Linked DNA regions of Arabidopsis thaliana. The protein of the gene in region 4 interacts with the protein of the main gene of each other region in a pairwise test. Each region holds a gene or a part of one and is shown on either strand. Other genes may lie near its edges.

The links.
Region 1: the proteins of AT2G41610 (region 4) and AT1G34640 interact in a protein complementation assay, tested with the Arabidopsis thaliana proteins (one large-scale study listed by BioGRID).
Region 2: the proteins of AT2G41610 (region 4) and FUT10 interact in a protein complementation assay, tested with the Arabidopsis thaliana proteins (one large-scale study listed by BioGRID).
Region 3: the proteins of AT2G41610 (region 4) and AT4G17430 interact in a protein complementation assay, tested with the Arabidopsis thaliana proteins (one large-scale study listed by BioGRID).

The regions. Positions count from the first base shown.
Region 1 is NC_003070.9:12,686,830-12,690,685, forward strand, and holds AT1G34640 (peptidase), read right to left. Parts: upstream 1,715-3,856; 5' UTR 1,599-1,714; coding exon 1,357-1,598; intron 968-1,356; coding exon 877-967; 3' UTR 723-876; downstream 1-722. Other genes in the region: AT1G34630 (uncharacterized protein), read left to right, coding at 1-79, 173-239, 310-606.
Region 2 is NC_003071.7:6,687,328-6,691,554, forward strand, and holds FUT10 (fucosyltransferase 10), read right to left. Parts: upstream 2,493-4,227; 5' UTR 2,434-2,492; coding exon 2,337-2,433; intron 2,261-2,336; coding exon 813-2,260; 3' UTR 795-812; downstream 1-794. UniProt on the Arabidopsis thaliana protein: May be involved in cell wall biosynthesis. May act as a fucosyltransferase.
Region 3 is NC_003075.7:9,724,117-9,728,797, forward strand, and holds AT4G17430 (O-fucosyltransferase family protein), read right to left. Parts: upstream 2,719-4,681; 5' UTR 2,686-2,718; coding exon 2,219-2,685; intron 2,142-2,218; coding exon 1,085-2,141; 3' UTR 594-1,084; downstream 1-593. Other genes in the region: AT4G17420 (Tryptophan RNA-binding attenuator protein-like protein), read right to left, coding at 1-26, 280-327; AT4G17440 (chromogranin (DUF1639)), read left to right, coding at 3,732-4,304, 4,412-4,543.
Region 4 is NC_003071.7:17,344,967-17,348,803, reverse strand, and holds AT2G41610 (uncharacterized protein), read right to left. Parts: upstream 1,648-3,837; 5' UTR 1,624-1,647; coding exon 691-1,623; 3' UTR 565-690; downstream 1-564. Other genes in the region: AT2G41600 (Mitochondrial glycoprotein family protein), read left to right, coding at 2,034-2,216, 2,474-2,811, 3,036-3,207.

The DNA.
Region 1 (3,856 bases), on a different chromosome or scaffold from region 4:
AATACTCTATACTTGGCAAGGGTCTTCTGGGCACAGCGAGATCAAGTTTGTTTCTCGCTACTTACTGCTCTTCTGCCTGGTTAGAATCAATTCTTGGAAGGCTCTTATCGATTTTTGTTTTGTTCTCACTTGAAGTTGGAACTTAGACCATCTCTATAATGATGTAAAATAGGGCTTGGACTTGTCTACTATTCCGCACTTTTGAGACATGCAACATACCGCTTGTGGCCATAGCAACAGTACAAACGAAAGCCATTCTCATCACATATCATTGTTAATATAATACCTAACGTTAGGCTTCTCCTGCAGTTCCCAACAGGTCTGGCTTTAGCTATTGAGAAGAAAAGCAGAAGGATAGAGATATCACTATACTGCTTAGCGAGGGCGATAGAGAGCTTCTTTACTTGCATGACAGAGGCAGGATACATTCGACCGCCCAAGAGTTTAAGAAGAGCGGATGTGGTTGTGTTCAGCGTTTCGACAGCCATTATAATGCATTGTTACGCACAAGAAAGAGACGTATTTCGATCAAAATACTTGAACGTACTAGATTGGGTCTTCGGTGTTCCTCCTCCCCCTCCTGCTCCTTCTTGCGAAACAACCTAGAGACATTCACTTTTAACCTAAAGATCTTTCTGATGTGGGACAGAATTTGGTGGTAGAATGCTCATTTAGAGTCTCTAGGAGTTTTGTTTTGGGTCAATTTTGTATACCACAATCCATTTGACAATTTTTGTCCATCTTATGTGGACACACCAATATGTAATCTGGTAGTCTTACATGTTCTACAAAGTTAAAATAAAACGAAGCTAAATATTTTGTTAATCAACAACACTAAACCATAAAAAAGATGGACCAAGTAAATACAATATGGCTTCAATAATTTGATACGAACATCCACCACCTATACACTGCATATCCATAGACCGTGCCGTATAAAACCATCCTCATAGGGTACACTCTAAACCTGCATTACTTGGTCCAAAGATGTATCCATTATCCATTAATTAGGCCAGTAAACCAAACCAAAATTTGGATCTAACAATTAAAATCAATAGAAAATATTCACGAAAATAAACAAATTCAATCATAACTTGTACACCTAATTCGTAGATATACAATAATACATACATTGCAAATGGAACCTAACATTGTATGTATGGTTTGAGATTCGCTCTTTTGAATCCAAATTAATATCGGTTGACAAAAAAAAAATTGTATGTATGATTTATGTTTATCCAATAGGTTTTAAGGCAATAAAGCTAAACCAAAATTTAGATCTAATAATTCAAAGATTAATATATAATGATATGATAAAACAACTAGTTTGATATTGAGATAAGATAAACAAGTAACCTTGAAGGATGAGATTTGCGGGCGAGAGCGGCTGATCTTTCCTCGGCGGTGACAGGATAGCCCCACCGAGAGAAACTCCGATCAAAGAAGTCCCAATCCGGCAAAAGTATGCCGCCAATAAGAGAAATACCGACGGCGTAAGTAACAACCGTCTTCTTTAAAGACTGTGTCCATAACCATACAACTACCATCACCACTGCAAGACCTACCATTGATGATCTTAGTGCTGCTTCGTTTCCCATTATGGCTAAGAGAGAGTAGATAGCTTATATTTAAAACGGGATTAGTTGAAGTTGCTTTATAACAGTGTAAACATGGAAAGAAGATTCACAGATTATGTAGGATGTAGGAGAAAGATTTCATTTATGTGTTAAAGATAATATTTAATGGATTTTTTTATATAGGGTATATTCTTTTGGAAAAATGCGTGGCAATCAATTGAATTGAATGCCGCCATAAATGTGGTAATGTCCCAACCGTATTTTTGGATCCAAGTTTTTGTGTTTGTTCAGTTTTATCTTTATTTATGGTTTTGATCATAGAGTAATTAGAATTATACCGAAAAATTAGGAAAAAAAAGATAAATTTTGGAATGACAAGAAGGAATTCACAAACTTTTCTTTATTTTTAATTTTTTGTAGTGTAAATGTAAAAACGGATAATTTGGTATGAAAGAATTATACCGAATTGCATCATACCATATATATAAACAATATCTCTCGGATTAACTCTTTGAATTCTAATTAATATCGGTTGCCAAAAAAAATTTGTAGAATAAAATGACATAATCATCAAGCGGGACAGAAATTATTTTTAACTTTCACAAGCATAAGATTATATGAGTACGTTGTACTTTAAACATAAGACAACAAAAAAATCTTATCATATTTTTGAGGTAAAAAAAATTATAAAATTGACCAAACAATGTGTTATACATATGAAATTTACTATTTATTATTTATTTGTTATCTCATTTAATATTATGTTATAATTTTAAATTGATAAACTTAAATTTTGAATCCTCAATATTTAATTAACTTTACCAATCAAACTCTACATCTACAACCAACACATGTAATCATACAACAAAAAGTTTATAGCTACTGCCGAACAACAGTAAAAAGGAAAGTTACTACTCAACCAAACACCCACATAATTGGTTACTAACATAAATTTTGTTTTGATAGTTGGCATCGTTAGTAATAACCTCAAACTTTTCTTTTCTTTTCGCCAAAAAGTAATAACCTCAAACTACGAATGTCGTTTTGTAAATGAAGATTTCTAATTTTTTCCTATAAATGTGAAAACAAAGTAAATACTCTTTTTCATTGATAGTATATTAGTATCTAAAGCATTAATCTTACAAAGGTTGTTAGATCTATATAAATTCAGAAACAATTTTTTAAAATCCGAAGCCACAAAACTACGCATTGACAAAGGACAAGTTTAAGTCCCTTGGTAGAAACAAATGACGTCGACTATTTCTATTGTTAAATAGCGACGAGATTAAGCCCTCATATATATGCGGCTAAATAGCAACACCATGTTTCTTTTACACATGTTTTTCTATGAACTTGCTACAAAAGTTCATGAGAAAGTGTGGTCACATCTTAATAATATCTATTCCTCGGTAACTATTTTAGTCTATATCTACTAACCAATATTTGAATATTTTCTCAGTAACAAAGTAAAATATAATACTGATTCCCCCAATGGTACTGTGATGCCACATTGCTAAACACTCAATTAAGTTTGGTTTTGATACCCCTTATAACATCATGATCGCCAATGTTTATTTACCATCAATTACAGTTTTGACCTACAAATCTCATCCTCGTTATTCGACCAGTGCACTTCTACATGTAAGGTTGATAGACTTGTTTACTAGTCTTGTTGATCATCACAAGATATTTTTATGTGTTTTGTGAATTCTTGCACAATACTAAAAATCACAATCTTTATATTGCTTCGCGTGTGGGATCAAACCTAACGATAAGATCAAGAAATTTGTTCCAAACCTCTCGTAAAGACACAAACAAGACACAATGAGAACTCTGGAAGCTCTACACTAGCTAGGAATCTGAGTTTGTAAGAACAACAGATCATCATATTTTTTGAAAATCATTTAAGTCGACTAGACCTGGGTAATAATATCACTTAATCCCTTCTCAATTATTTTGGATGCATCTTCAACATTTTGTTTTTGATAAATTCGAATCATATATGCAGAAAAAACAATTTAAATACAAATGATAAGATGATTTAGCTCTTAAAAATGACCAAAGAAACAAACAAAGATGAGAAGAAGAAATTTTGATTCTCATTATATCTTTTTAATTAAAAAATAAAATTTTATTTAGTAATGCATAATGTTTTACAAAAATATATTGGGTGGCTTTTAATTTTTGAGGAATACTGAGGAACTATCACCTAATTAATTTTGTATAAATAATTTATCAAGTAATTAAAAAACATTATTCTACGGAACCATTGAATATTT
Region 2 (4,227 bases), about 11 Mb from region 4:
ACGATTATGGAGTTTCATCCAAGAGATGATAGCCAAGAACGACAATCTCATCAATTTGAGATTGATTCTAGAAAAGGAAAGAAATGGGTTCACTATTTGGTTATTAACTTTCTCATCATTCTTGGAAATTCATCGGTTTCCAAAGCATTGTGGAAATTCATTTTCTCATCATTCTTTTTAATATTTGGTTATAAATGTGTGAATGTGTGTTTGAATCAATCTCTTGTATACGTTTAGTCTAGGTTGAACAATGTTTTTTTTTAATATTCCTCATTTGTTTTGCGATCTCTGTTTGTAACACCGTTTTTGGAAGTGTCTTGGAGGGAAAACATGGAGAAGCACCTCCTCCTCTTGGAGAAGCAATCTCGACTCCTGGAGGAGCAAAGTATTCTCCTGAAGAATCAAGCTCAAACTCTGGCCTATCAGTCTTCTTTCTAGAAGATCTTCGTGAACACCTTTGTAGCCGTGTGCCTTGGTGAATTTGCATCCATAGTGGTGCAGTATGATATCGTTCCCAAACCTTAGACGAATCCAAAAAATCAGTGAAAAGATGGAAGAGAAGATAAAGAAGATTAAGGTTCTTTGTAGGCTCTTTTCTAGGGTTCTTGAGTGTTCGATTGTGTATCCCTTTCTCGATGGCGGCTCATTCCTTTAGGGACGTGGTCTCCTTTCTCTACACACCAACAGTTATTCTAAATCATGCAAACCTCGTAAACGTTTTAAAAAAATCTAACATATTAATAAACTGTAAAGAGAGATAGAATTTCTCTTTTGATTTTAAGAACTCAATAATCAAATGTGATAAAATAGAACTAAAAGTCATCATATAGCTTAAGCCCCCCATACATCATATCCTCACAATGCCTAACAAAAGGAAGAATCTTCCCCGAGTTAGTTCCCCAGTCAGCTTCACATCCATGCGAAGGAGGAGTATGGTAACATGGCTCCATCGACTTGGATCGAACACACGGTGGATTAGGAGTGGTGAAATTTACTGGCTGATAAAGTAACCATGGCTTTAATCCTCCAAGACTGTATGAAACATATCCAAATGTAGACCATCCGCTTGTGACAATGTTATCGGTTAAACTCAAAAGATACATCTCAGCAAGCGCCTTTTGGTCGTGACTTTTCTTGTCTGTTTGCTGCACTCTTTCTGCACTTGGCTGATAAACTTCGATAATCTCTCCTGTAGAACTTGGCCTCGCTAAAAACATGTTAGTTAAGTTGACAGAGTACTCTGGATAGAGAGATGCGACAAGAACTACTTTAAGCTTTGGTGGTTTAGATATATTGACTTTTGATTCTTCTTCAAATTCAGGCAACAGTTTCTCTCTTTGTGTACATGCTACGACTTGGTCCATGACATGTTTGAAATATCCAGAAGGTTTTCCGAAAACCCTTATTTGAATCCCAAGTCTCTCGTCTGCATTGGACAAGTGAGCATCGTAGTACTTAGTGACCATATCCCAAACTTCATTTGTAGGGTGAAAAAGATACCGAGCCAAATGGTGAAAGACGGTTTCTTTCTGCGGGAATAGCTTAACTAGTTTGGTTTGGAAAGTTGGATTCAGCCATAAAGATGGAACAAAGTAAGCATTGGTTTGAATAATTAACCATGGGACTTTGTCGATAAAACTTTGATCCTTTTGGCAGAAGAACAGCTTATCACTATCCCTAGAATCATGGATGTTATGGAGATATAGATGTGGCGGAATTGAAGTCGAGTTGATGGCATGATTTTCCAACATTGTACCGTAACAACGAGGGTATTCCTTATTGTAGCCATAAGCATAAGTATAATTCAGCATTGGAAAGTCAAGCGGAAGCAACCATGAAGTACCTGGAAATGGCTCACATAAGAGATCACTAACATCCTTGCGGTTGTCAACAAGAATGATTCTCTCAGTCAAGATAGCGTAGAGAAACACGGAAGCAAGAGTAATTAATCTGTTTCCAAGCCCGTCCCTAGCTAGCCATACAATGTATCTGCATTCACCATTTGATTCGCTTGCATAGTACTCATCACGACTAAGCTTCTCTGTTGCTTCTTTGTAAGCCTTGGTATCCGGACCGCAACGTTTGTGAAGCATCTCATAGCTTCTAAGCTCAGAGACGAGATATTCCGAAGGCATGTATGGAGAAGGCTTGCGGTACAAGAAATATTTATGATACCTACTCAAGCAAGAACCTTCATCAAAATCCGCAGTTAAAAGCCCTCCTATAAGTTTATCCACCGGTCTTTCGGATTCCTTTATATCTATAACAAGAAAATGATATGAACTGAGGATTCATTGGGTTAACAATAAAACACAAGATATGGATAATTTTCTTACCTTTGGTTGTAGCATCAAGAAGTTGGTCGTTGAAGTATTTTGAGAATGATAGTATAATTAGTAAGCAACCAAAGACGACCGCGATCAGAATTTTCATCTTCAACCCCAAAGCCTTTGTTGGAGATATGAAATTTGTGTTAGTTGTTGACTTTCGTTTGATCGGTTATAAGTGTGAGATGATTCAAAAAGAGTTTACAACTTTTATATAGCTTGATTATAACTTCTATTATCAACCACAGATCATGTAAATAAGACTTCGAATATTTTAATGTGAATTGTTGAGTTGACTACACACGATCTCCGAACGTGATTCCAAATTTGTTTTGTTTATTGTTGAGTTACCAATAAAATTGTTTTTTGTTTTTGTTGTTAGAATTCCAAATTGTGATTTAGAAATAATTAACGAAAAAAATGTCAATAAGAGAGCTGTTGTGAATTAACGGGTGTTACAATATTGTAATCTTGGAATCTAAAGAAGTAGGGATTGTCTGGCACGTGGCGGAGCCAGCGTATCGATCCATCGGGGTCAAAAAAAAATTCTTTCTAAAACCGCATAAGTTATAAACTCAAGATTGAAGATTGAAACAAAGAAAAAAAATAAGAAAAAAGAAACTATAACGTTTTTAGAATACAAAAAATGTTAAATAATAGGTTAAAGTATATTAATGGGCTTAATTATAGTATATTTACTTTTAAAACAAAATATTATTGAGGTGAATTCTATATACAAGTACAATTACCTAAATACAATATAGTTGTTGGGCTTAACTATTAGAAGTCTTCTCAAGTAAATTGTTTTATAGGGGTCAATTTTCTTATTTGATTAGAGTCAATCTAACATATTAAATAAAACTTCAGCTAATTTTTTAAATTTAACCAGGGTCAATTGACCCATGTGACTCTATACTCCCTCCGCAGCATGCAAACTTGAATTAATATAGTGAAATATGCAACATTTTGTTACTGAACATATATTGAGATCTGTTTACATTCCCACTCTTCAAATATAATCACTTATTTTTTATCCATATAATGAATTAGATAAAGTCATGTGCATTGCTGAAACGATTTACCATAGTCAAATTCCTAAACTCGATTAACAAACGCTCAAAAAGATATTCCAAAACGATTGAACTGTAAGGCTCTAACATTACACGAATAGAACTATGGTTTGGTTTCCGCCTAGAACCTTTGACCAAGTCCATTATTACTCAACATATTTCTCATTTTTTTTAGTGAAAATTGCTTAGACTGACTCTAATCTTAATAGAAATAACTATTGTGACTCCCAATAATCGATGACTAACTATTATGACTCATATTTTAAGTTAAAAGACTATTTAACCTCAGTCAGTATTAAAACTATATTTTGATTAAAAAAAAAAAGAATTACTAATAAAAATAAATAAACAAATGTAAAAATAACAAAACTCAGAAATCCGGTTATGGAAACCACATTTCTATTTCTTATCAATTAAATTAATGTTGTCATAGCTTGTAAAGGAACGTACTAAGCAAATGGGCAAACTAAAAGTTAAGAACTTTAGTATGTAAAATTAAAAAGCCCTTCGCTCGTGTTTTCCAGTTCTTGTACACCGAAAAGTTAAGATCATGTTTTCGAGTAACACCGAAAAGTCTATTTCTTATCAATCCGTTGTAGTTCGTAAATCATTTTCCACATTTTATTTTTTATCAATTAAAGTAATATTGTCGTAGATTGTTTAAGAATGGCAGATTGTATGTTATCACTTTTGAATTATGAGGATTAGTAGGTTTTGGTGGGCTGTTTTCTGTGGTGATGTTATCGATTTTTTTTTTAAAGTTAAATTGAATCAAACCGATTTTAACATATAATCAAACCGGAAAGATTTTACTTGAGTAAAATTGCTTA
Region 3 (4,681 bases), on a different chromosome or scaffold from region 4:
AAAGGTGTGATCGTATCTTCTTGACTCTGCATCATATAACCACTTGTGAGATTCATACTCCCACAGACACATTCAAGAGATCAATTTCTCACCCAGGAAATAGCTTATTAGCATTATCACTGAATTAGATGTAAGTACACATCACATTACTCAACACCTACATGAGAAAGGATCCTAAAATACTCGCGAAGAAGTATATTCGAACACTAGCCTTCTCGATAGTGACAGACAAGAATACGAATCTAAGAGGCGAGAAGAGAACGAAGATAGAAGACAAACCTGATAGACATAAGGCTGAAATGGAGTAGAGAAAAACGGAGCAGCCATGGCGGTGAAAACCGCAGAAAGATCTTCCAAACAAAAACCTCCGAATCCAAATTTCCACAGAACCAATTGGATTAGAAAACCTTTCACGTCGATGCGAGACGATCAGATCGCAGATCCAAATAACACACTCGAAACACTCTGAGCTCTCTCAAAACTCCGGTCGAAATGTTCGCGGTGGATGTCACCGACGGGAACCCAACAAAACGACAGATTAAATTCGCTTAAATCGGCCTGAAGCTGCACGTGGAATCTGTTTACGTGGAGAGATCTCATTGGTCACAAAATACACATCGACGTAAAATTTCATTTCCGGTTTAATATAATTACATTTCTTCTCAACCAACCCTCTTTCACTAGATTTATTTGGTACAAAATTTCTTATTCAATAGCCGGTTTAAAGACATTGGTACAACAATTACAAATCTTGTCGACCACTAGAGACATCTACAGAACTCACAAAACCTTTACTAAGCAACCATCCCACGCAACCTTTACTCTTCCATTGTTGTGTGTGAATAATCAGAAAGGAACCAAGTAGCTTCATCTATTAATAAGAAACTTAGATAGTTTCCCAAATAACTTAACAACACAAAACAATTTAAGAGCCTGTTTTCATCACCAATAACTTCAAGTGGAGACAGATGACAGATCTATCATCTATCTCTATCCATCTCTATACAAAGACCGGCAAAACTTAATAAAATCACTACACATTGGCTCATCCACCAGATGAATCCAATAGAAATGCAGTCTGAGTTCAACTACTACTACACGCATTGTATTTCCTCATCATCTCTACACTATCAGCTATTGTAGACCCTGGAGTACCAACAAAACCCAGTGAAGCACAGCTACAAACAGCTTCCTCTATGTAAAGCTGCACATTGGATCCTCCATGAGGGTAACAATGGGTCTGCATCTTTTTTATACTATCAAGACTCATCGGAATAGACCCAAATTTCTGGCCGTGACTCGCTGAATCAAGTTCATGCTCTGTTCGCGCTAAGAATTCATCTTGTTCCCCTATAAAGTGGAGCTTGAAATTTGTAGAGTTCTTAGACAAATCACCCAAGTAAGTTCCGGTCCAGTTAAATTCAGGAAGGTCTGTCATTACAAACACATTAATTAGACCAGGATTCTTAACGCTCAAAGCTTCCAACTTCTGATATAAACCCGTAAAAGTGCTCTCCCGATGATTCTTGAACTGGCCATCTAGTAATCTAAGTTGTGCACAAAGAAACGGCGCCTTTATGGTTTCTGAAGCAAATTTCTTTCCCGCGATCATTATCTCTCGAACAAAAGGAAGGAAATCGACCTTCTCAACCAAAGATTTTATCTTTGGAGATTTATGGATATCGATATACAGCTCTGAGCCTTTGTATGGAGCTGTGAAGAGGCTCCCAAATGCTAGAATAGCTGCAGACTCAGCTTCTGTACCATGTCCAAGAGTCTTATACACATCTCTTCGCCTTCTCACGTTGGACAATTTCTTTTTCTTCTTGAGCTTCTCATCAGGCTGGAACGAATCTAATCTCCCATCAGCTTCTCCATTTTTATAAGTCCAAACAGTGGTTCTACAATCTTCATCCACAGCATACAAACATTTATCTACATTACCACGAACTCCAGATAACAAATAGCCACACTGTTTCAGTGACTCATAAGCCTGAGACTGTTCAGCTAAATCATCAGTGCATAGAGTCTCCAAGTCAACACCACACTGTAGTGATGCAAAGTACCTAAAATCAATGACTCGAACAGCCGAAGAAGATACCAGCGACGAAATGTCTACAATATCAGCCATCGAAACGTACCTATAAACACCAACATTTGTCACCCACATTGATCAAATTACTAAAACTCATTACGAAAAAAAAAAGAGATTTTGTACCTGTCAGTCTTAAGAAGCTCAATTGAATGATTCCAAACTGAGATTCGTATCTCGCTGGGACTCAAAACCCTAAATTTAGGACAACTACCGAGAGCAACGGCGTGATGATCCAGAATCGGAGGAATAATTAGGGTCCGATTAAGAATTCCCGCCATAAGAAGCGCATTCTTAAATTCCGATAGCTGATTACTGAATCCACTGTGAGGAGCGTACCAGAGAAACTTCTGACCTAGAAGAGTTCGGGTTAGTATCTCGGATCTGCACTGAGGGAATTGAACGGATCCAGAAAATGCAGAGATTGAGAACAAGGACTTGGGCATCTCGGAGTAAGTGATGAAGAAGACGACGATGAAGAACACAACAAGTATAGAAACGGAGCAAAGAAATATCGCAGATTTGTCGGTTTGCTTCTTCCTGTTTGGCCATGGACGTGGGCTTGGTCTACTGGGATTGAAGAAGTTGTTCATGTTTTTTGCTCTGAGGTTTTAGTCGCCATCATTGCGTTGCGTCTAGTTTTGCTCATGTGTAGAAGATGCCAAAACGGTGAGTGTCACTGTTTTGGGCCTAACTAATATTCTCTGATGGGCCTTAACTAAAATAATACGAACTTAAACATAGTTAATTTTAGAAATCTTTTTGTAACATAATCTATACGAAGCTATTTGCGCGTCCACATAACATTTTAAACAAGCAATGGAGATTAGATATCTTGCTAATTAATATTTATGAACTTATTTTTATTTTTATTCTTTTTAAATTTTTGTAAAATAAAATAAAAAATATATGAAAATAAAAGAATATTTAAAAATATAAAAAATTTCTAAATATTTTGTCACCAAAATAATATTAAAAATATCAAAATGTAAATTTCTATTTTATTAAATTTATACACAAAAATAAATTTAGGTCTTTGGACCTAACTAATAATATTCTTTGATGGCCTAGAGAAATCGAATTCACTAGATGATCTAATATTTGTTGATTTTTAGTCCAAAATCGAATTCACTAGAGAAATTAACCTATTTAGCACTTACATGAATATATTGATCATCATTGATAGACTTAAGCAGTTGTAGTCTTTTAAGCTTTTTACGGGTTCTTTTTTTTCTCTTCTTTTCTTTAAGATCTCTTTATTTATATGTCTAAATCTAAACGTAATTTTCTGGATTTATTGTTAACATATATTAATCCCCATATCAGAAGGATGATAATTGATGTTGATATATCAGGATATAAAATAATTAACTAATGATTTATTTTAGCCAACAAAATATAACATACTTTTAACAAATCGTGATCGAATAACAATAAATTCTAAATAACACTTTAAAACACTAAAAGTCTTTTGAAATCATAAACCAATAACACCCCATGAATAAAAACATAATTAGAAACTTACGCATGCATCAGCTTCCGTAAATCTCCTACATCTCTCTCTCTCCTCTCTGCTTTTTACCTTCTAGGGTTTTTGATCATCTCTCAGGTGAATACGTTTTGGTATAATCTCATACCAATGTCTGCGAATTCCAAGTCGGAGAGGTCTGCTTCTCAATCGGCGGAGACGGTGGCTGTTTCTAACCGTGTCGTGGCGTCACGGTCAAGTCGTCAGCCGCGTCTCTCTTTCTCCTCCTTTGCTCCCTCATCAGAGCACGATAACCTGAAGAAGCTGAAATCCGATGAGATTTCTCCCGCGAGAGAGGAAGTGCCGGTGTCGGTGAAGGAGAGAGAAGAAACGGAGGAGGAGGAAGCGAAGAGGACGTGGAATCTTCGTCCGAGGAAGGCTTATGGTGGTTCGAAGAAAGGAAACGGCGTGTTCACGGCGGAGGTTTGCGGTGGCGGCGGAGGAGGAGGTTCGGAGGTGAAGAATCAGAAATCAGGCGCAGGAATTGAGCCGAAATCGAACAGGCAGAGAGGAATCCCGGCGGAATCACCCGGATTAGGCGGTGGTGAGGTTGCAAACGAGAATCATAGGCTTTGGGTTGCTCTAGCTCGAGACGAGATCGAAGAAGATTTGTTCAGCATGAGTGGGAACAGGTCATCTCGCCGGCCAAGGAAGAGGGCAAAAGCTATGCAGAAACATCTCGATGTAAGTCACCAGGTGTTCGACGAATTGCCTCACAGAGAATTCAAAACAATGACTACGTTTTTTTAGTGTCTCCATTTTCTTAGGCAATTCAATGTCTGCCATTGTAGGTCATTTTCCCTGGATTGGGTCTCGTTGGGATGAATGCTGATTGCTTCAGAGTAGCCACTTCTCCGGCTAAGGTTAGCTTTGATCAGTCCACTTACTTGCTCGATGAAAGCTTGGATCAACCTGCCCTTTAGCTACATTGATCTGTAGATAGTATGAAATGGATGAAAGTCTAGACCTTTAGGTGCTATTACAGATTTTATGAAGTTTCATTCTATGTTAGCTTTACGTAACCTAATGGTACTGCTGCTTTAATGATACAAAACCCGTAA
Region 4 (3,837 bases):
TCATCGGAATAGCATACCAGAGATCGACGATCTCATTAATCATTATGTATAAGTACAAACTTCGTAAAACTATCCAATGCTACAAATAACAATACAAGATAGTACAGTGGTACCACCTAATTATTGATATAATTCTATGACTTCTGAACTTGAATATGTATGTATGTATGGTTAGTCATATATTTATAAATCTAGGAATTTTATTTTCTTAAGGTTAATCTTCTTTAACAAAGTTTAAATCTAAAATTTAACATTGCATCGCAGTATATATACTAGCTGTAATATAATCTTGTTCAACATTAACATAACCAATATATTGAATTAAAAAGCCAAGACTTATTTATGCCTAGTAGAAGTAAAAAGTCATTTTTTTGTTCGGGTAAAGTGATGAACCAACTCAGAAGGCTTTCAAAAGCAATTTCCTAATGGAATATCTAGCAAATTAGCAAGTGTTACACCACTTTTCTATTTCTTCTTGTTTAAAACTGTAACCACTATCTTGCGTCATCTTGACACTACTACTTCTCACTGTTTTGATTTAACTATTTACAATAAGGATAAATATAAATAGATATAGAAGTAATGTTTAAGTTTTACCATTTCATCATCACATCCAATATAAACTCATCATTAAGCAATCATTTACATTTACTTCATCTTGCCTCTGATTTTTCCTTTTTGTTTCAAATTTCATGTGTCTGATGTCTTCTTACTCTGTCTCCGACTAACCAAACAACATACTTTTGTGATTACATAAACACATATCAACAGAAGAAGAAAACCAAACACAAAAACCCTAAACAAGATAGGCTCTTCAACAGGAGACATAACGGCCAAGTACACACAATCTCTTATAAGAACAAGCAATGTCAGTCCTTGCACAACATTTTTAACCACCAAAACTCTTTTATTTATTCCTTCTTCTTTGCATAACTTGCATATAATCCTCAAAAACAAAACACCAACCACCAAGAACGTTGTACTAGACCATCCTCGGTAAGAGACAATCTTCCCTCCCACTATTAATGGCTCTTTCCTGCATATACAAGACTTGCAGACTCCAGAGAAAGTAGATGTGACCAGAGCATCGAATCCTGTATAATAGGGGAGAATCACAGCGTCTAAGTAAAGACTAGCGTGGAGAATACCAGAGATAGTAGAGGCTTCGAAGAAGACAAAACTCGCTTCTTTTTCGATATTGTTCTCAAATAAAAGCACTGAGAGCTGAACAAGCTGTAGTATCGCAGGTCCAAAGATGGAAATTGGGAAAAGGGTATTGATCCTTTGACCTTTTGCAAGAATCAAGATGATCAAAGGAAGAGAGATTGGACCAGAAGGAAGTAAGTACCTTCTTGCTTTGTCATCATCACCATCATCATCATTTTCTCTTCTTCTTCTTGATATTACCTTCCTTACGACAACAATTAGCGTCGTCAAATAAGTAACCGTAACGAAGAAGAAAACTAGAACGTCGGTGATTTGAGGGTAGTCGCCGGCATAGATGCTGTCGCAGAAATAGTGGAAAGGACAGTTAATAGGATCAAGTGTGTCCTCGAATTGCCACTTTGTGCATTTGAAAAATGTTTTCTTTCTATCAGAATCCATTTCCCATTCTGAATTCATAATTTGTTTGTTTTTTTTGTTTTGATCTATATGTTTTTGGTTTCCTTAGAAGCTACACATATAGTTTATAAGGAGTGTGTGTGACGTGACATCATCATATGGTTGATTCTCTTTCATTGTCTGGTTATAGATGCTTGAACTAAAATGGATAATGAAACTCTATCTGAAATCTGAATTCTATCTTCATTTTTTGTTTATTAATACAAAAAATCACCCTTTGAATGAAACTATGTATTGAGAGAAGCCTTGATCTTCAAGGGAAATAAAAGTTTGGTGTGCAGCTGATGATTGATTGGTTCTGTGTAATTGTTAAATTGCATGATTACGTAACTGAGAATTCGGTTTAACCGTTTAAATTCCGGTCTACTGAAATTGCTACGGAAATAAACCGAATTAAACCGAACCGGATCATGATTCAGTCTACTTTAGTTTTTGTGCTCCGTAGATTGAGAGAAGCCAATTTTAGGGAAAAGAGAGAGATGAGGAAGTTGAATCCGCTTCTGAAACGAGGCTTGAAGGCTATTGAAAATGGTGATTTGTTGAAGATCCTCCAAAGTGAAATTCGTCACGAAATCTCCCATCCTCGTTTCCAGGTAAATTGTTGTCTTCCTCTTTCCTTCTTCTTCTTCGTTGCTCTCAGTAATCTCTCAATTGAGTTTTAAGATCAATGGTGCTCAACATTAGTTCGATCAGACTCTGTCAGTTTCAATTTCATTTTTCTGAATTGATGAACATTAGAGTGATTTACCAGATGGGCGAATTTGAATTTGATGTTGGATCTCATAAACCCTAGGATTTTAAGTACTTACATTCTACCTTTATGATTTTGCTTTGTGCTTGAACCCCACAGGGCGTTGAGACCGGTTCTCTAGGAGATTTCAAATTGGATTGGGATTCACCGGAAAGCCAAGATATTGTTCTGAAGAGACAGTTTGATTCAGGCGAGAAGGTTGTGGTCTCTGCTTTATTGCAACCAGAACCTATAGAACTAGAAGATGATTTAGTGTTTCCTAGGGAAGCTCATGCCAAAGTTTGTATCAAAAAGCCTGGTCTCAGCTCTATCTTGCAGTTTCATTGCCGGGTTTACGAATCAGGATCTGGATCTTCTCATTTCGACATCGAGAGCGCCTACTTTATCCGCTCTTTTGTTTCTGCTCCTTCTTCCACTTATGGAGACCATTTTTTCAGGTGAAGTAAGCTCATAAATGATAATCTCTCAACATTTTGTTTAAGTTACTTGAATCATATCTGTTTTACTTCATCCAAACCTCAAAGCATTGGGTACACTTCCCATTGTTCTTTCCCTGGAGTAATTGTTCTATATATATTGAAAAAGAAGTAGACTATTAGAGGTTCATGTGTCTGCATATGTTTGATTTCAATGACCAGTGTTATTTTCTTTGTTTCTTTAGCCAAGTAGATCCCAAACTACACAGTGCACTGGAGCAATACCTAATATCTAAGGGGGTCAGTGAAGGCTTAACTAATTTCCTTTTGTGTCACCTGAACAAGAAGGAGCAGGATCAATACGTTAACTGGTTACGCAGGCTTGAATCAACTATGTCACATTCTCCAAAGCCGTGAGTGTTTACTCCATAAGCTCATTTCTTTTCAAGTTTTGTTTTTGGAACAATGGTAAAATGCCTTAGGAGTAGTATTATTAGCTAAGAGAGTCCTTGCAATGGATGTTTTGAGGGAAGATGTATCGACGAATACATGTTAACTGTAATATTTCCAACAAATGGGACCCCAAATCGTATGCTTTTGAATTTTCAAGCAAGCTTGGTTTGATCTTTGATCTTTCAAGATGATTAGTCATGAGATAGTGAGTAGTAATCGACATCTACATAACCACCCTCATTCATGTATTTATCTTTGTAAATCAATACTTGACCTATAATGTCTTTTGATCTTTCTCCGAAAGGACTAAAAAGTGAGAAAATGCAATAAAAAAAAATTTACGAACAAAAAAAAGGCAAATGAGAGAGAACAAAAATTCGGAGCACGCAGCGTCAAGCAAGCATCACTTAACACTAAAAAGAACTTATGTTAGTAAAATTATTCTGGAAAAGATAAATCAGTTATTGTGTGAATACTATAGTGTTAACGTGACATAACATCATAGGAAAACGATAAAAAAAGCATAGATCTTGAGGTATCTTTTTTTTTTTTTTTCTCTCTGAACTGATATCTTTTCATTGATAACATTTTAAG